Linked DNA regions of Neurospora crassa OR74A. The protein of the gene in region 1 purifies or fractionates together with the protein of each later gene. This does not show direct contact. Links are inferred from orthologs where the notes say so. Each region holds a gene or a part of one and is shown in the gene's direction. Other genes may lie near its edges. The genes, in order: tng, NCU02207 and NCU08535.

Region 1 (6,251 bases):
TTGGCTGTGTTGTTACCGGGCTGGACGTTCTCTTTAGCTTCGCCTCCGCGGCCACCACCCCTTTGCCTGCCTCCAGTGGAAGGCTGCTTGGGAGAACTAGGTTTTTGCGAGGCTGATAAGGCCGGCGATTGGGCATTTACAGGCGTCGAAGGCGTCGAGAGTGCAGATGGAGTCGCCTGTGTGGAATCCCTCTTCTTGAGAATCATTGTTGGCTTGATTGGCGGTTGTGGTGTCGCGACCTCAGCAGGTTTGGTCTCCTTGCCGGCATCTGTTCCCTTTGACTTTGATCCTTCCTCTGTAGTCCCACCTCGGCCTCTCCTTCCGCGCGTTCTTCCGGAGGCTGACTCTCGTCCCCTAGCAGACGCCGAAGGCGATGCAACAGCCGAAGAGTCGGCAGCATTGGCGGGCGTCGAAGAGCGTTCAGAGCTAGCCGGCGCAGGAGTTGTCTCCTTCTCCTTCTTCTCCCTGGATGCAGTTTCTTTGGCAGCACTGGCATTGGCACTGGCAGTAGCAGCAGCGCTGGCCTTTGCGTCAGCCTCAGCCTTTGCTGCCTCCTGACGTGCCTTTCTGTGAGCGTTGCCCGGGCTGAGGCCCAGGTCACGTTGTAAGATGCGTGCTGCTGCGGCGATGCCTGCCCGTCGACTCTTGGGTAGCTCCGATGTTGCGTCGCCGGAAGGAGTCGACTGAGTGGCGGATTGTGACGAGCTCTGGGCGGCCTTGGTCTGGGAGTCGGCCTTTGAGCTGGACCGGGCGTTGTCCTGGATCTGGCTGGCAACCGTATTGGCAGCTTTGGCGGCTTCCGCTGCAGCACTTGATGCGCCCCTTCTTGTCAAAATCTTGACATTGTCCCTCGGTTTCTCTGAAACCTTATCCGTCTTCTCGCCCTTGGCTTCTCTAGCCCGCTTTTTCAACTCCTCCAGAGTAATAGTCGCGGTGGCAGTCTTGGTCTTTCCTCCCTGCGATTCCTGTCGAGCATGTTGCTTGGCGCTCCGGGCAAGTGCCGCCTCCTTGGCTCTCTGTGCTTTCTTCTCCTTAAGATATTCGACGAGTGGCGTGGTGGTGACCTTTTCGGGCTTGGCTGATGTTTCCTCGGCATTCGGTTCACCGGCGGTATCTGTAGTCTTGTGGGCATCGGGATTGGCAAGGCTCTCAAGAAAGGCCATAAACTCAGGCTCCTGGTCGATAGTGCCTTGGCGGTTATCCACCCTTTTCTTGTCGCTAGGGATCTTCTTGTGAATCGACAACTCGACTGTGGGCGGCAGGTTCAGGACCGGGTCGTTGTATGATTCCTTGGCGTCCTCCCAAACGCCATTCTGTACAGCTTGTGAGAGCACTAAAAGGTCATCTTTCCTGATAACGTGAATATAGGCGCGGGAGGGTCGAGATGGCCGTGAGGGACTGTGACACATGATTGTGTGAGAAGCGCGTTGGGGAGAAGCTGCGGTGATGTACTTACTGCTGGGAGCTCTTGCCAGGCCAGTATGAAAACCAGTCAACCTTGCCATGGCCGACTTTCCATTCATCGCCGAGGATTTTGAAGAACTCTTCTTCGGTTAGCAGGGGAGGAAGTCGACGGACAACCACCTTTTCGCCCTCGGACTGAGGCTTGGTCTTGGGTGCGTTCTGGGCATCATTGGTGGCCTGGCCGGCAGCGGTGCCATTAGGTTTGCGCAGAAGCAGCTGGGGCGCCGCCATCATGGTTGAATTTTGAAGCTACCGTGGCTTGGAATGGTCGGGGTATGTGTAGTTTCTGGGTGGAGTCTCGAGCTAGTGTAGAAATCACAGCCTCATGCTTCGCTCACAGTATTGGCGGAATGATTGTCTATCGGTGGTTGATAGAGCTGTCTGTCGGCGTACTAAGTACTGGTGGTCGAGACCAGCGGGGGCTCGTGTCGTGATGGGAGACTCCGTCTTTGGAGAAACGACAGTTTACATCAAGCTGTCGATGTTGGTGAGAGTGGAGGGCGCGGCTGGCGCGAGCGGTGTTGGATGAGTGTTTCGGGTAACAAATCCAAAGAGCAATGACGGGATGCGATTGCTGAGTGAAGTGGAAAGGGTGGAGCTTGGTCTTTAAGGTACGGCGGTACCTACCGCTCAGCCTTATCGGATTCGATAAGAAATCCACAATCCAAGTGCCCCGCAATTCCGGGGATCCAGAACTTCGTTTGCTTTAAGGGAGTGCACAGACCCACAGCGGCTGAGGGGGGCAGCTCTCGGCGCCAATGTGCGCGCGTGATTTGGCCTGCAGCGCAATCCATTCAGGGCACTCGCCCACTGGCAAACCGCAGTTGGCCACGGGTCCCACGCAGTACCTTCACAGTACCAGTAGGTTTCCAGTGGGTGGGTGGCAGGCTGCCCGCCCGGTCACAGTTCGAGGTCGAGGTCGAGGTTGATTCCAGCCCCATCCATTCAACCTCACCTCAGCCATCCAGATCCCGCGCTCGGCATCGTCGTCATCCTTAGAATTTCATCCCAACAACAAACAACAACCCAACACACCCGACAACACAACTTAAGTCTAGCAGTGCCCTCCCACTTGCACTTGGTGGCCCCAGGACCCTTCAATCACGAATCCTTGCGACCCGCGATTCATCTAGCGACATTAACAATTGCGGAACCCAAGTTCCATCGCAGCCTTACACAAGCATCCCTTCGATTGATAAGATATTTCGCCCGCTGCTCGCTGCTCGCCCATCTTGCAACTACAGCCCGTACACCAAAAGGCTCGAGTCCGATTATATACAACCATCATGTCCACGATTCCAAAGCCGGGTCCGGCTAATCTTCGTCCCGGAGCCGGTCTAGATGAGTGGCTGGAGGAGGCGAAACAATGTCATTACCTTCCTGAGCCTGTCATGAAGCAGCTCTGCGAAATTGTCAAGGAAGTTCTTATGGAAGGTACTTGAGCACCAACTACTAGTCAGGATTACACATGCCCGCGCGCGCGCGCGCGTTCGCATCCCGTGTTCCCAAGGCGCGCACGACAAGGGAACTTGTCCAGCTGACTTGTGTCCCCACGTCATCAGAATCGAACATCCAGCCTGTTGTTACGCCAGTCACCATCTGCGGTGATATTCACGGCCAATTCTACGATCTCCTCGAACTCTTTCGCGTTGCTGGTGGCATGCCCGGTGAGACAAACGTCCAGGCGCCCAAGACCGCAACAACCGTCATCACATCCGAGGACATCGAGCCCCCAACGGAAATCACAGATCCCAACCTCAAGAAGAAGATCAAGAGCAGTACAGACAGTGAGGCTGGGGCTGGAAGCGAGAAGGAATCCCCAAGTGAAGAGACCCCCCAATCCAGCGCCAACACGGGCTCTCAATCGGCCGATACTCGCTTCGTCTTCCTCGGAGATTTCGTGGATAGAGGGTACTTCAGTTTAGAGACATTTACCCTTCTCATGTGTCTCAAGGCAAAGTACGAAGGCCCCCCGTTCTAGTTCTGGTTCGGTTCACGCTGCTGACACTTTTCGCCCAACAGATACCCAGATCGCATTGTTCTAGTGCGCGGTAATCACGAGTCCCGACAAATCACCCAGGTCTACGGTTTCTACGAGGAGTGCCAGCAAAAGTACGGCAACGCCTCTGTCTGGAAGGCTTGCTGCCAAGTGTTTGACTTTCTTGTTCTTGCCGCCATTGTCGACGGTACCGTTCTCTGCGTCCACGGCGGTCTCAGTCCCGAGATCCGCACGATTGACCAGATCCGCGTCGTTGCGCGTGCTCAGGAGATTCCGCACGAGGGTGCTTTCTGCGATCTTGTGTGGAGTGACCCAGAAGACGTCGATACATGGGCTGTCAGTCCACGTGGCGCTGGTTGGCTGTTCGGAGACAAGGTCGCGACAGAGTTCAACCACGTCAACGGTTTGACAACCATTGCAAGAGCGCATCAGCTGGTAAATGAGGGTTACAAGGTGGGTCATCACTTTTTGTTGCTCTCCACAGTTATGAGAAGGAATGCCAGCTAACCTGCGTTTCTCATCTAGTTCCACTTTGCCGAAAAGTCGGTCGTAACCGTATGGTCGGCACCCAACTACTGTTACCGTTGCGGTAACGTCGCATCCATCATGACGGTGGACCGCGACCAAAACACAAAGTTCAGCATCTTCTCGGCCGTGCCAGACGATCAACGGCATATCCCCGCAGGCCGAAGGGGGCTGGGTGACTACTTCCTATGACAGAACATCGAGGGCGCGAGGTGAGGTGAGAGGGCGGTGTTATGATTGTCTTGTTGTCAAGAAAGCATGTCGTTGCGTTATGGGCAGGTCACGTTTTGTCGTCGGGAATTGGTGGCAACCACTCCAAGGATCCTAATTTTCATGTATGACATTCTGCCTGGGATTTATACTTGGCGTTTCCGAGGCGTTATACTACCCAATTTTGTGTTTCAAGTGCCAGAATGAGGCTATGAAAGTGCCAGCGACCACTATCCCGTTGTTATGGCTTTTACCGTTGTTCAATCATTAAGTGTTGGAGCCAACACCAAAGCGAAGTGGCGGACTTGATGATAGCTATGAAGGGAGAGTCGCAGGGAAGATGATTTTGGCTAAACACAAATAATAGGGGCAACTGGAGACAACCAAAACACAAGATTGTGGTCTGTGCGTGATTGTTTCGATCTCTTGATTGGCTCCCAACAATACAAGGCCTCTCTTGTCACCAACATCCAACAAATAGCCAGAGCCAGTGCAAGAGCTGACCCTCGAGGTCACGGGCATGAACGAACATGAAAGGTAAGAGGAAACGAAGAAAAAGGACGGGAAACTAAGGAGAAAAAAAAAACATACAACACCAGGGATTCGCTGGTCGTCACCGACCCAACTACTAGTCTGGCCCTCACTGGCTTATCTATGGGAGAGCGGACGGGATCCCGAGTTTTCCAGTGGGTATGGTCGTATGTACTTGTCTTACTTTCTTTCATGGGTTTATAATACCTAGCACAACTGAAATCAGCCACATTATTCTGGTGCGGTGCTGGCAGAGGTGTAGACATATACTATGAAGACAGACACTTCGTTGTATCTCAGTCAGTAGTATCAAAGGACACTCGTCCGTCTACCACTGCACTCTTCTTCTAATTGGTTTTACCTAATCCAGACTGCGATTGAGATCTATATTATGTATTGATGACTTCGTTCAGACAAAAACAGCCAGTGATGCCCCATTTCTTTATGTTTGCTTTTATTGTCTTTGTAATCTGTACCCTACTTACCTCTGGCCTGTCATGAGGTTAGATTCTTTTGAGACACGCCAGTCAACAGCAGCATGCCCTTGCTCCCTCCCCGAATCCAGAACGACGAATTCTCAATGTCCCTTCTAACTGAAGCGTCATTATAACTTTCTTTGATCCATGTACGTAACGAAAAGGTAAATGATAGGTTTAATGTTTGATGTTCGTCGTTACTAACGAGCTGGAGGAGATGGGATTTGAAGACAAGTCTATTTTGACAGGCAGTTAAGCTCACTAAGGGATGCTGAGATGGCGTCTGGTATGTATAATAGAAAGGTGTACACTAGGCTTGTAATGATAGGTCACTGAGATGACGAGAATAGAACTCCATAGCATAGAAGATGTTCAGCCGCTCGGCAGAGCGCATAGCTTCTGTCATATAAGAGTGCTCGTCCCGTCAATATCTGTTAAGGTGGATGGATTATTAGTTAATATTATATCAACCTATAGTCTATTCTGTTCATACTTAGCGAAGTCGTGTACGAGGTCCTAGGTTGAGGCTCGTGACAGGTCTTGTCTTTTGCTTCCTTTGATAAGACTGTCGTTAATCGTTACGTACTGTTGCTCTGTCCAGCAACCAGTTGCTCACTCTATCATTCTCTTTTGGCATCACTTGTGAACCACGCCTTCGTGTAATACCGATGATGACTGAAGTTCATATGTAATTAAACCTATCATGGGAACTAACGTGGTGTAGTTGAGGTTTTCGCGTCGTCGGAAACGAAGCGAACCCGGAAAAACATACCTAGGTTAAGATCAGTATTTGCGACCTTGACCTGAAGACTTTGATTACTATACGCTGTGATAAACCAGTAGTTTATACTGCTATTAGTAACATGTACAACAGAAAGACAACAAAAGAGAAAATACAATCTACTCAATTCCAGATCAACATGGTGCCATCTTCAGTAGCCACACCCTTGATCACCGCGCAGTGATCCATATGAACGGCATTCTTGTCGACGGTACTGGCACTAGTAGCATCGGCGGTAGCTTCATGACCCGTCGTCTGTGGTGAT
Region 2 (6,088 bases), on another chromosome or scaffold:
TTTGCTCCTCGTTGACCTCGGGGAGGCCGTCGACAACGACAAAGGCATCGTAGCCCTGCTCAAGCTGAACCTCGTACTTCTCGCGGATATCGGAAATGTCGACCTCATCAACATCGAAGTCATCCTCGTCGAGGTCCTCGTCGCGGAGGTGGTCGAAAGAGGGCGCCATGCTGGGCAATTAATCGGCAGTCTGTTATGCTTGGTGGGTGCCGGGGATTAGTGGTAGCTGGCGATGTACGGGTCGGGAAGGCGCCTCTGGTGGTGGTGGTGGTGGTTGGACTTGGTGGATGACGGGATTCTGGGCTGGCCGCTTCGGATTTTTTCTGCGATGCCGCGGGCGGAACAACGTGCTGGCTTATGCGGTCGTCAGGATTATTGTGAGAATTTGTGCGCAGCGCGCAGATTGTGGTGGGGTTCAGTGAGAACGGCCAGAGAACCAGGGAAGACAGTGAAGGGAATGCCCCACTTTAGGAGGCAATAATGCACGTTGATTGGCTACCCTACCAGATCCCCTCTCTCTGGAATCGCCAAAATGGGAATTTATGTCAGTGAATGCAATGATGGGGTGGATAGTTTGGAGGTTAAAGAAGACGGAGCCTCAGATATCATGGATATTGCACAGTCGCAATGAACACTCAGCCTGGGAAAGTCAAGTTCTCGATGCTGTCTCTATTCTTCATCAACTACAACTTTTTCGGTTTCCTTTCTTTTTAACAAAATGATGGCGGCAGGCAGTGGGCTAAGCATTGTTCGTTTGTGCACGGAACCAATATTGACCATGGCAACGTCTGTCCGCTTTCAGCAGAGTTTACAGGTTTCAAGTTGCCATCACTTTGAAGTCAAGAAGTGGACTGAAGGTTGCGGTTCGTTCGTTGCACCGACTCAGGTTCCCTTTCCTCTTGGCTTTGAGCCTCGACGGTAGTCCCCTGGGCTCCTCGCTTCTCAAAGTGCTGGCTGCGCTGTCCACCACTATCCACCGCCGCCGCCGCCGCTGCCAGCCCAAAGCTCCCCTCCCCCCCCCTTTCTTCCTTCCCCACGGAAGACGTCCAAGTGGGGTCCCCTGCTGCCCACTCACCTCAAGTGGACATTTTGTCTGTCAAAGGAGGGGCAGACGGCCTGGCATGCGAGTGACAAGCATTTTATGCCACCTGTCGCAGGCGGTGAGGTAAAGGAGGAACAGGAAGCTCTGGAATTTTGCCGTGGCCTGCCGTCCAAAAAGTGCCTGGAATTCAGAAGAGCATCATCCGTCCCGCTGCTGGCAGATTGTTGTAGAAAGGAGGCTTCGCGTTCAGGGTATCCATAACGTCCACCCAAAATATAGTACTACCAAGCTTCAATTGCTTCTTCTTCTCTTCCAACCTCAACCCCCTGTGCACCCCGTATCCCCGACCTTTTGTCTAATACTTAAGCTTCTTCTACATCATGGCAAGTTGATTTGTACATCACTTTGGGCATCTTTCCGAGCTCACCGTAACTAACCAACCGCCTGACCATCTCCAGGCCTCGTTTAGCCCCACCCAGATCTTCGAGGAGGGCACCACAGAAGAGAAGGGAGAGAATGCCCGTCTCAGCGCCTTCGTCGGCGCCATTGCTGTTGGCGACCTCGTCAAGAGCACCCTTGGTCCCAAGGGCATGGACAAGATCCTCCAGTCTGCGTATGCTTGTTCACCAAACCCCCCGCCTACATGCTTGACACGCCGCCGTCATGTGCTGACCGCACCATCACAACATCCAGCTCGACCGGTGAGATTCTAGTAACAAACGACGGTGCTACTATCCTCAAGTCTATCGCTCTCGACAACGCCGCTGCCAAGGTCCTCGTAAACATCTCCAAGGTCCAGGACGACGAAGTCGGTGATGGCACCACCTCGGTTGCCGTCCTTGCCGCCGAGCTCTTGCGCGAGGCCGAGAAGCTTGTCGACAAGAAGATCCACCCTCAGACTATCATCGAGGGTTACCGGATAGCTAGCCAGGCTGCGCTCAAGGCCCTCGAGGACTCTGCCGTTGACCACAGCAGCAACCCCGAGGCGTTCAGGAAAGACCTTGTCGCCATCGCGCGCACGACACTCAGCTCCAAGATTCTTGCCCAAGACAGAGACCACTTTGCCGAGCTCGCGACCGAGGCCATTCTGCGCCTGAAGGGTTCCGCCGACCTTAGCCACATCCAGATCATCAAGAAGTCCGGTGGCAAGCTCAGCGAATCATATCTCGACGATGGCTTTATTCTCGACAAGAAGATCGGTGTCAATCAGCCCAAGCGCCTCGAGAAGGCCAAGATCCTTATTGCCAACACATCGATGGATACCGACAAGGTCAAGATCTTTGGTGCGCGCGTCAAGGTCAACTCTACCAGCAAGCTCGCCGAGCTTGAGAAGGCCGAGAAGGAGAAGATGAAGGCCAAGGTTGAGAAGATCAAGGCGCACGGCATTAACTGCTTCATCAACAGGCAGTTGATTTACAACTGGCCCGAGCAGCTGTTCACCGATGCCGGCATCATGTCGATCGAGCATGCCGATTTCGATGGCATTGAGCGCCTTGCTCTCGTTACCGGCGGTGAAATCGCTTCTACCTTCGACCACCCGGAGCAGGTCAAGCTTGGATATGCCGACTTGATTGAGGAGATTATTATTGGCGAGGATACCCTTATCAGATTCTCCGGCACGGCTGCCGGCCAGGCTTGCACTGTCGTTCTCCGCGGTGCTACCGATCAGTTGCTTGACGAAGCCGAGAGAAGTTTGCACGACGCTCTTGCCGTTCTTTCACAGACCGTTAAGGAGTCCAGGACAACACTGGGTGGTGGATGCGCTGAGATGGTTATGGCCAAGGCTGTTGAGGGTGCTGCTACTCGGGTTGAGGGCAAGAAACAGACCGCTGTGTCTGCCTTCGCCACTGCTCTCAGGCAACTGCCTACCATCCTGGCTGACAACGCTGGTCTCGATTCTGGCGACCTTGTTGCCCGTTTGCGCAAGGCTATCTATGACGGTCTGACCACCTATGGTTTGGATCTCATGACACCAGGCGGCGGTATTGCCGATATGAGAGACTTGGGTGTTATTGAGAGTTACAAGCTCAAGAAGGCTGTTGTTTCTTCGGCCAGTGAAGCCGCTGAGGTATGTAACCCCTATTTCAATGCTGAATACGGCTTTGAGCATGCTAACCATCGTGAATAGTTGCTTTTGCGTGTGGACGACATAATAAGAGCGGCCCCCAGGAGGCGGGAGAGGCACTAAACTCGTACTTTTTGATGGACGAGGAGAGTTGGTGGAGAGCAGACTATGTAAATGACCTTGAGCATAGCAGTGCTGAATGCTTGATGGTGTGTGGTCTCGCCGTCCCAATACTAGCCCGACCTTTGATTCTTGTTGATGTCAGACCACGATGTCATGCCGTGCGCCAAATGATGCCACAACTGATATAGCAGAGACCCAAAACTAATAACCACGCCATCTCATGTCTGCCGCCTAACTTGACTAGCCAGCCTTTCATCGTGTATGTAATATTCTACCTTTTTCTGTGTCGGAGAGAGATCCACCAATCGTCCATTCAGATGCATGCCGATATTACCTCATTCAACGTTATTCGACGAAACATCAGGGAAGGAGTGTCATATTTTCATGACTGTCAACGTTAGGAACACACTTCCTACAGCTTCTGGTAGGAAACCTCCCTCCAATCCTTCATTCGACCCCCCTTTCAAACACTTCATCCCAACCTGACCTAGTCACCTATACCCTTTGAAATAAAAACTCCCACTGAAGAGCATTCCATCCTCCTTCATCATATCCAGCATACTAGCAAGCCCCATCCCGAACTACACCAAACACGAGCCAAGTACTTAGGTTCAGTTGTTTTCCCCAAGCCTCAAGCCTCAAGCCAAAGCCTCGGCCAACCTCTCCTTCAACAAGCGTCCAATCACCTCGGGATCCGGCCCCTCGGCCCCCGCGGCGACCATATCCTCCCGCGTGAGTCGGACGAACTTGATGTCTGGGTTCTTGGCCAGCACCGCTTCTTTGACTTGCTCGGCGTCCGAGGGGGACACGCCGCCGCCGAAGATGATGGCCTTGGGCACCTTGAGGTCGGCTGGGGTGGCGGCCGTGGCGTTGGAGCCGAGGTTTGACGAGGGGAGGTGGGAGAAGGTGCCGGTGCAGAGAGGGGGGAGTTCCGAGAGGGAGGTGGAGAGGGTGAGGGTTGTGTGGACGACTAGTAGGGGAGGGGAACGGGGAGGTTAGTTTGGGTGAGTAATTACGTGGAAGGTGGATGTAGATATACTAATGGGGAATGGGTGTGAACGTAGTGGAAAGGAGAAAGGGATGGACGAACCGTCATATTCTGGAAGGAGCTTTTCGCGAATGGCTTGAGCGACCTCGGGGTTGTTGCCGAAGGAAGCGATGGGGATTGCGGCGGCGGTGGACATGATGATAGCTAAGTAGTGAGTTGCACTTGGGGGTATAGCTTTAGGTTGGTGGGATTGTTCCTATAATTCTATGCTTTGACTGCTAGAGAAGATGGGCAAGCCTTGGTACTTGGGATAGTAGTATCGTGGGGATTCATATATCTCGTTGCTTTACTCGAGAGCCATTTCTGACCATGACTGGAGCTCTCCTTCCAGTTGTATTGAAGTGAGGCTTGGAAAGCCGTCGTCGTTCCCGTCGTTGTGTATGTCGGACAATCTGTAACGATTGTCACCGGTGACCGAAGTCCCGGACCAAGGAAACAGCTGCAACAAATTGTCTTAGACAGCAAATGCTACTCACTTACAGGTACTGCGAATTGCTTGGCTGCTTCAGTAGTATTTTTGGGGAAGGTTCGAAACCTTTGGTTTGGCGGAGAGCGGGACATGATGAAGACCGAATCGGGACGATGGGATGATTCCGGGGACCGGCATGGAGGAGGCCCAGCCCGGAGCTTCATCAAGACCTCGTCACCGAACGGAAGGCAGATTGCTGCGCCGTAGTAGTAGTCACGAACAAGACTACCAATTGTTCTCTTCCCTTGAGATACCACGCCTCGCCTTGAGTTCGTCGTGCCGTGGGGTAATCCGCTAATGAATTCGGGAGTCCGGAGACACAGCATTGTTTAGTCGCCTGAAGCCGCGTAAGTCGTGGAAATCCTTGTCTTCTAGAATTGATTCCGGTCTTCTTGTGTAATTTGGATGCATACGGGCCGTATAGTCAAATGGTGGACGAATTGTCCTTGACACCGACTGGAGGACCTGTATGTGAAACATGGCTATGTTGTGCGAAGATTCACCGCAAAATATGCTCGAGTATTAATAGAGTTTTGTGATAAAGGGACGGCGTATTAGACGAGCGCGCGGATCCAGTCTTGCACGGAATAATGTGACAATGTCAGCTCAAATGTACCAATTCGGGATTTCGGGTGAGGGAGATGGAAACACTTTCTACAAGGACGCAGAGAAGAAGTCTTCCTTCCGTCTCTTCCTGCTCGGGTTGTTTGGCATCTCATTGGCGACCAGGCTCGGTCCCGAGATGGTGGCTATCCACGCCCATTCTCGTAGTAAGTAGGACATGAGGCTCGTGTCGCATCAAGCGAGGAAAGACTGGCTAAAAGTCCTCCAGTAGTACATAGGTGGAAAGGGTTTCCAGCTGAGATGAACTTGTCTGGAATGCCACTCGTCTTTTGACCTACATGTGGACTCTTGGTACCGCATTTGTTTAGCAACAAGAACTGAACACGACAACTTGATGTCATGGGAGTGCATCATGCAGGTCGTTCCTAACCTCTTCCTCTCCTCTATGAGAATTCTTGTATTTGCAGCCTTGCTGATAGGTACCTCTACACGGATATATTACTGCATCACCGTCCACGCTCTGCGAAGAGTTCCAGGATAGCTTTCTCTTGTCTCTTCCTACCCTCCTTCCTCAACGCAAGACATTGTTTTGAATATCCCACGCCGCACTGAACTGGGGATGTTCCAGCATATCGTACACATTCACCTCGGTATTGGAGTTCTGAATCAACACTCGTCCCTGCATCTAGACTTGGCCATCTAACATTCCAGTCCACTTTACATCTTGGAGCCTTTCGCGTACGACGGGCCACTTGGTAACGATGCTCTTTCTTATTC
Region 3 (6,413 bases), on another chromosome or scaffold:
AAACTCGATCTCTCTGCCGTCAACAAAAGAAGCGAATGTGCGCTCGGGCCAAAGGGTTGATTTCAAGGCAGCAAAAGCAGACTTGTTAGGGCCATGTAAGGGTGCCGTTCCCGCGGACGCGGACAACATGTTGGGGATCTGCGGGGCCCGGCGCCCGCACTAACATTTTCGTTTGCTGCTGTGCCGATCCCCTGAAAAGGCGCTGAACCTCGCCAGCCGAACACAATCCTTGGTCGTCCCGTTCAACCCCTCAGTGGGTGAAGATATTTTGGTTGTTTTCAAGGCGAGGCTCGTTCAATTGTTCCATGTTCAACCCTCCGTCTCACGCGGGGAGGTTCGGCCTTGTCGGGGGGTTTCCGCACAAGGTTTTTGCGAACCCAACAAATCTTAGGGGTACGTACCGAAGATCTCATCGTAATTTTCATACATGCCGTTACCGTGTGACCCACCCGACGCCACTTCGCTTTGGGGTGGAGGTGCACCCCGAGTCCCTGACAGCCCGGAATGAGATGGACTAAGCACGTACCCTATGTAACCACTTTCGGTGACTTTTCATCATCGGACATTGACTTTTGCGCGCCGTATGTACGAGACTAAACCGATGTCTGTTAGCTTCATTGAGAGGACGGCCATATCATTCAGTCAGCCGCCAATGTTCGTTTTGGAAGCCTGTCATCGCCAGTGTTGTCCTTGTGTTGGCCTCTTCAAACCATTCATTGTCTTGCCATTCTCCCCACGTTCCACCGGGGTATTGACCGGAGGTTACATGCGCCCATGTCGCACTAGACGTCAGCTTTCGGTCGGCCGGTCTTTTGAACGCCGGAGCCCCACGGACAAGCTAATGACAACATGGGAAGTTAAGGTCCATGATCCCCATGATTCGGTTGTTGTGTTGTGCTGGATCCGTGTTTAAATTGCGATGTGGGCTGGAGGTTGGGTGTGGAAGACTGCAAGCGTTGTGACGGACATCATCTGAGCTGCGGTATGGCGTAAGACAAGAAACAGGCGGGCCATCATGCTGATTTGAACGAAGATGGAAGTCAATGGAAGGGCAAGAGCAGAAGGGCGTCTAATAAGGTGAAAAAGAGAAACAGAGCGGCTACAGATGTCATGACTACAGCAACTCTGAATCACGTCCGTCTGCGGCGTGAAAATGACTGCATCCGGACTTTGGGCCGTGCTTCGTGAGACAAGACCATCGGTCAGTACAGTACGTAGCGGGGGATTCCCGGGTCAGTCCGAGCAGCAACATCAATGTCTTTTGTCTATCAAAGTAGTGTAGACGTCAAGAAGAATCAAATCAATTCGCTGCTATATGAGAACTTGTGGACACAACAAAAAGCTGTAAGAACGACTCGAGGTCGTGTGTATTCGGCGTACGAAGCTGACGATTGGCAAAGGTGTGGTTGGGCAGTCGCCTCGGTTCCTGACATTGTGATTGGAGCAGTGGGCCTTCCCCAACGATCCCGTTCGGGTGAGAATCGACGTCCGTGATTGGGTGATTGCTGACAGTTCTCAATTGGAACCCACCTTCGGCATCGCTTTGGCTAAATCTACCCCTCCCTCCCTTTCCGCCTTTTTTTTGGGCGAACCGGCTTGGCACTTGCCCCTGGCTTCTCCAATTGACGAACTGAACCCCAAAGGTTCCCAAACCTTGCCGAATCTGAAGGGCGAATCCCACCTTGATGCCATCCACCGCCTTGGATAGGCAGGCGGGAGCAAATGGCAAGATTGGCCTCGATAGCGATACCATTTGGCGGGGTTGAAATGTCGCAGTGGGGGACATGGACATCAGAGCAGCAACGACTCAACTCCAGGAGAGCAGAAAGATGAAAGCAAGAAGGAAGAGATGGGGGGTATCAAGTAGGTATTTATGCATTATCGAAAGAGAACGGACTGACTTGAGTTGTCCGAGTTCATCCCGTTTCGCTCTCGGTCCTTGTATTGTTTTGGAGTTGAGGTTGAGTGTGGGCGCAAGTGGAAGAAGTACATGTGGTGTACCTGTACCCAATTGCCCCACTTGTGGCTGCGATTTTCCCATCAAACCCGCAAAGTTGGTGTCTCGAAGTCGCCCATTTGGAAAGTTCGGACGCAATACCGCGGCATTACAACGAATCTTTCACGGCCGTCTGCTCGCTCTTGCCCCTCCAGCTTCAAGTATCAAAAGGTTCCTGTCGCCCTCTTCCGGTCGCCTCCTTCCAGGTTGCTTCGTCCCTTCACTCCTCCTCGCTCCCTCTGGTCCTGTGGTCTGGTCTTGCCGTCCTCGTCCAATTTAGCTTCAGGAATTTCGTCGTCCCTCCACGTCGTCTTCCTCTCCTCCTTCCTCCCACTCTTCTCTCTCTACCTTAAGGTACCAAGACCTTTTTGACCAAGGCAATCGCGTGCGGCAAATCCTCCCTCCTCCAGCCAGCACCACTCCATCCATCTTGGTTTGCTCCGTCAAGATCTTCACTTTTCTTGCTGCACCTTCTCCTTCTTGCTCAGCCTCTTGCTAAGCAGCCTCGACTCGATTGTTTATTGTTGACGTCGACATTGATCGAGCAATCGCACGACACACACTTTCCCCTTACATCCCTGCAGAGATACCCCGTGCGGCTTCTGTCGTAATTTTCCACCCACTTTCCAACTTCTCCACGACAACTTGACTCGGTGAGTGTTCCTCTCTGCGTTCACTGCACCTGCAGGCAGCTCCCTTCACTCCCCCTCCCAGAGCACCGCACCGGCCCATTAGCACAGCCAGCATGTTCCCAGTCCCCTCCTGCTTGTGCCTGGACTGGACACAACTCGACTCGCTCTACACCCAATTCCCCGATACCCAACAAACCAAAGCTGATGCGACCACCGCATCCACCACCCTGCCACTCCAGTCTCTTTCCACTACAGTACCATAACCCTTAATTACCACCAGCTGCCCCGCCTCACGACATTCTGCCACACCACATCTTTGCTTTGCCGACGAGGAGCTGGAAACTGACAGCATCATTCTTTTTTTGCAGGCGATTTGTTAGCTGAGCCGAGCTGAATAACCGAAACACTCCACTGACCGATAACTTGAATTCGGCTGTTTCGGGAAATAGGTATACATCGACCGAGTGTAACATTGAAAGCGGCTTCCTCCTCCCCGCCTTCGATCCACGACGACGACGACGACGACTCCTCCGACTCGACAAAACAACACCACATATTTACAGACAAGATGGCGGACACAACAGCGAGCGACGCCGTCGTCCAGGCTTCGTATGCCGCCAAGCACAACCTGGCCCCCCATTTCATTGGCGGCAACAGGCTTGAGAATGCCCCTCCCTCCAAGGTCAAGGACTTTGTGGCCTCCCACGATGGTCACACTGTCATCACCAACGTACGTTTCCTCGCTCTCCCGGCAGTCCAACGCACATTCCGCTAACATTTGCTTGTTTTCCAGGTCCTTATTGCCAACAACGGTATTGCTGCCGTCAAGGAGATTCGCTCAGTAAGGAAATGGGCTTACGAAACATTCGGCGACGAGCGCGCCATCAAGTTCACCGTTATGGCCACCCCCGAAGATCTGCAGGCCAACGCCGACTACATCAGGATGGCCGATCACTATGTTGAAGTCCCCGGCGGCACAAATAACCACAACTATGCCAACGTCGAGCTGATCGTGGATATTGCCGAGCGTATGGATGTCCACGCCGTGTGGGCTGGTTGGTGCGTAGACAAGAGTCCTGCCTCTGGGGTTGATGGTATGAAAATACTGACTGTTCGAATAGGGGTCACGCCTCCGAAAACCCCAAGCTCCCCGAGTCCCTTGCGGCTTCCCCCAAGAAGATTGTCTTCATTGGTCCTCCGGGTTCTGCCATGCGCTCCCTTGGTGACAAGATTTCCTCGACAATTGTTGCCCAGCACGCCGACGTTCCCTGTATCCCTTGGTCTGGTACCGGTGTTAGCGAGGTCAAGGTCGACGACAATGGCATTGTTACGGTTCCCGATGACGTTTACCTCAAGGGCTGCGTCAGCTCGTGGCAGGAGGGTCTGGAAAAGGCCAGGGAAATTGGTTTCCCAGTAATGATCAAGGCCTCCGAAGGTGGTGGTGGCAAGGGTATCCGCAAGGTCCTCAACGAGGACAACTTCGAGTCGCTCTACAACGCTGCCGCTAGCGAAATTCCCGGCTCACCCATTTTTATCATGAAGCTCGCCGACAGCGCCAGGCATTTGGAGGTTCAGCTTCTTGCTGATCAGTACGGCAACAACATCTCCCTTTTCGGCAGAGATTGCTCGGTCCAGCGCAGACATCAAAAGATTATCGAAGAGGCCCCCGTCACCATCGCCAAGCCCATGACCTTCAAGGCCATGGAGGAGGCTGCTGTCCGTCTTGGTCGTCTCGTCGGTTACGTCTCGGCCGGTACCGTCGAGTACCTCTACTCCCACGCCGATGACAAGTTCTACTTCCTCGAGTTGAACCCCCGTCTGCAGGTCGAGCATCCTACCACTGAAATGGTCAGTGGTGTCAACCTTCCGGCTGCTCAGCTCCAGGTTGCCATGGGTATTCCCCTCCACCGCATCCGCGACATCAGACTGCTCTACGGCGTCGACCCCAGGACTGCCAGCGAGATCGACTTCGAGTTCAAGAACCCCGAGTCCGAGAAGACCCAGCGCAGGCCTACCCCCAAGGGCCACACCACTGCCTGCCGTATCACCTCCGAGGATCCCGGTGAGGGTTTCAAGCCATCCAACGGTGTGTTGCACGATCTCAACTTCCGTTCGAGCTCCAACGTCTGGGGTTACTTCTCCGTCGGTTCTGCCGGTGGTATTCACAGTTTCTCCGACTCGCAGTTCGGTCACATCTTTGCCTATGGCGAGAACCGTGCCGCCTCCCGAAAGCACATGGTCGTTGCCCTCAAGGAATTGAGCATCCGCGGTGACTTCCGTACCACCGTCGAGTACCTCATCAAGCTTTTGGAGACTGAGGCCTTCGAGGAGAACACCATCACTACCGGCTGGCTCGATGAGCTTATTTCCAAGAAGCTCACTGCTGAGCGTCCCGACCCCATTCTGGCCGTTGTTTGCGGTGCCGTCACCAAGGCCCACATTGCGAGCGAAGGCTGCATGACCGAGTACCGTGCTGGCCTTGAGAAGGGTCAGGTCCCCTCCAAGGACATCCTCAAGACTGTCTTCCCCGTCGACTTTATCTACGAGGGTTACCGCTACAAGTTCACCGTCACCAGGTCGAGCGCCGATAGCTACCATCTCTTCATCAACGGCTCCAAGTGCACTGTCGGCGTTCGTGCTCTGAGCGATGGTGGACTCCTCATCCTTCTCAACGGCCGCAGTCACAACGTTTACTGGAAGGAAGAGGTCGCTGCTACCCGCATGTCGGTCGATAGCAAGACCTGTCTGCTGGAGCAGGAGAACGATCCCACCCAGTTGCGCACCCCCTCTCCCGGTAAGCTCGTCAAGTACACCGTCGAGAACGGCGAACACGTCAGCGCCGGCCAGACCTTCGCTGAGGTCGAGGTCATGAAGATGTACATGCCTCTCATTGCCCAGGAGGATGGTATCGTCCAGCTTATCAAGCAGCCCGGCGCTACTCTCGAGGCCGGTGACATTCTTGGTATCCTCGCTCTCGATGATCCCAGCCGTGTCAAGCAGGCCCAGCCTTTCCTCGGCCAGCTTCCCGAGTTTGGTGCCCCTGTTGTTGTCGGCAGCAAGCCCGCTCAGAGATTCCGCCTTCTCTATGACACTCTTCAGAACATCCTCATGGGCTACGACAACCAGATCATCATGCAGCAGACCCTGAAGGATCTGATTGAAGTTCTTCGTGACCCCAAGCTCCCTTACAGCGAGTTCACCGCTCAATTCTCAGCCCTTCATGCCCGTATGCCTCAGAAGCTCGACGCCCAACTTACTCAGGTCCTCGAAAAGGCCTCTTCGCGTTCGGCCGAGTTCCCTGCCCGCAATCTCGGCAAGGTCTTCCAGAAGTTCCTGGACGAGAACGTTGCCTCCAAGGTTGACGCTGAGCTGCTGAAGACCACCTTGGCCCCTCTCACCACCGTCATCGACCAGTACTCTGAGGGCCAGAAGGTCCATGAGCTCAATGTCATTCGCGATCTTCTTACTTCTTACGTCGAGGTCGAGCGTCTCTTTTCTGGCCGTCGTCTGCAGGACGAGGAGGTTATTCTCAAGCTGCGTGATGAGAACAAGGAGGACATCAAGAAGGTCACCCAGACTGTTCTCTCTCACAGCAGGGTTGCGGCCAAGAACTCGCTCATTCTCGCGATTCTGGACGAGTACCGCCCCAACAAGCCCAACGTTGGCAACGTCAGCAAGTACCTTCGTCCCGTCCTTCGCAAGCTTGCCGAGCTCGAGTCTCGTCAGACTGCCAAGGTTTCCCTCAAGGCTCGTGAGATCTTGATCCAGTGCGCTTTGCCCTCTCT

The links.
Region 2: the proteins of tng (region 1) and NCU02207 purify together in Saccharomyces cerevisiae (affinity purification with mass spectrometry, with the first as the bait; 4 studies listed by BioGRID). This does not show direct contact. The link is inferred for Neurospora crassa OR74A from reciprocal best matches to the Saccharomyces cerevisiae genes SIT4 and CCT2.
Region 3: the proteins of tng (region 1) and NCU08535 purify together in Saccharomyces cerevisiae (affinity purification with mass spectrometry; 4 studies listed by BioGRID). This does not show direct contact. The link is inferred for Neurospora crassa OR74A from reciprocal best matches to the Saccharomyces cerevisiae genes SIT4 and ACC1.

Annotation. Positions count from the first base shown.
Region 1 is NC_026502.1:723,156-729,406, reverse strand, and holds tng (serine/threonine-protein phosphatase ppe1), read left to right. Parts: upstream 1-2,351; 5' UTR 2,352-2,750; coding exon 2,751-2,898; intron 2,899-3,026; coding exon 3,027-3,423; intron 3,424-3,486; coding exon 3,487-3,916; intron 3,917-3,988; coding exon 3,989-4,180; 3' UTR 4,181-4,588; downstream 4,589-6,251. Other genes in the region: NCU03435 (hypothetical protein), read right to left, coding at 1-1,398, 1,457-1,698; NCU03437 (hypothetical protein), read right to left, coding at 6,110-6,251. UniProt on the Saccharomyces cerevisiae protein: Involved in the dephosphorylation of the large subunit of RNA polymerase II. Is required in late G1 for normal G1 cyclin expression, bud initiation and expression of certain genes that are periodically expressed during late G1.
Region 2 is NC_026507.1:3,332,722-3,338,809, forward strand, and holds NCU02207 (T-complex protein 1 subunit beta), read left to right. Parts: upstream 1-1,174; 5' UTR 1,175-1,422; coding exon 1,423-1,425; intron 1,426-1,500; coding exon 1,501-1,655; intron 1,656-1,735; coding exon 1,736-3,110; intron 3,111-3,170; coding exon 3,171-3,230; 3' UTR 3,231-3,594; downstream 3,595-6,088. Other genes in the region: un-10 (eukaryotic translation initiation factor 3), read right to left, coding at 1-169; NCU02206 (hypothetical protein), read right to left, coding at 3,869-4,200, 4,321-4,414; NCU02205 (hypothetical protein), read left to right, coding at 5,346-5,517, 5,680-5,852. UniProt on the Saccharomyces cerevisiae protein: Molecular chaperone; assists the folding of proteins upon ATP hydrolysis. Known to play a role, in vitro, in the folding of actin and tubulin. In yeast may play a role in mitotic spindle formation.
Region 3 is NC_026503.1:5,003,196-5,009,608, forward strand, and holds the start of NCU08535 (acetyl-CoA carboxylase), read left to right. Parts: upstream 1-2,132; 5' UTR 2,133-2,649; intron 2,650-2,996; 5' UTR 2,997-3,196; coding exon 3,197-3,358; intron 3,359-3,421; coding exon 3,422-3,687; intron 3,688-3,749; coding exon 3,750-6,413. UniProt on the Saccharomyces cerevisiae protein: Carries out three functions: biotin carboxyl carrier protein, biotin carboxylase and carboxyltransferase. Involved in the synthesis of very-long-chain fatty acid synthesis which is required to maintain a functional nuclear envelope.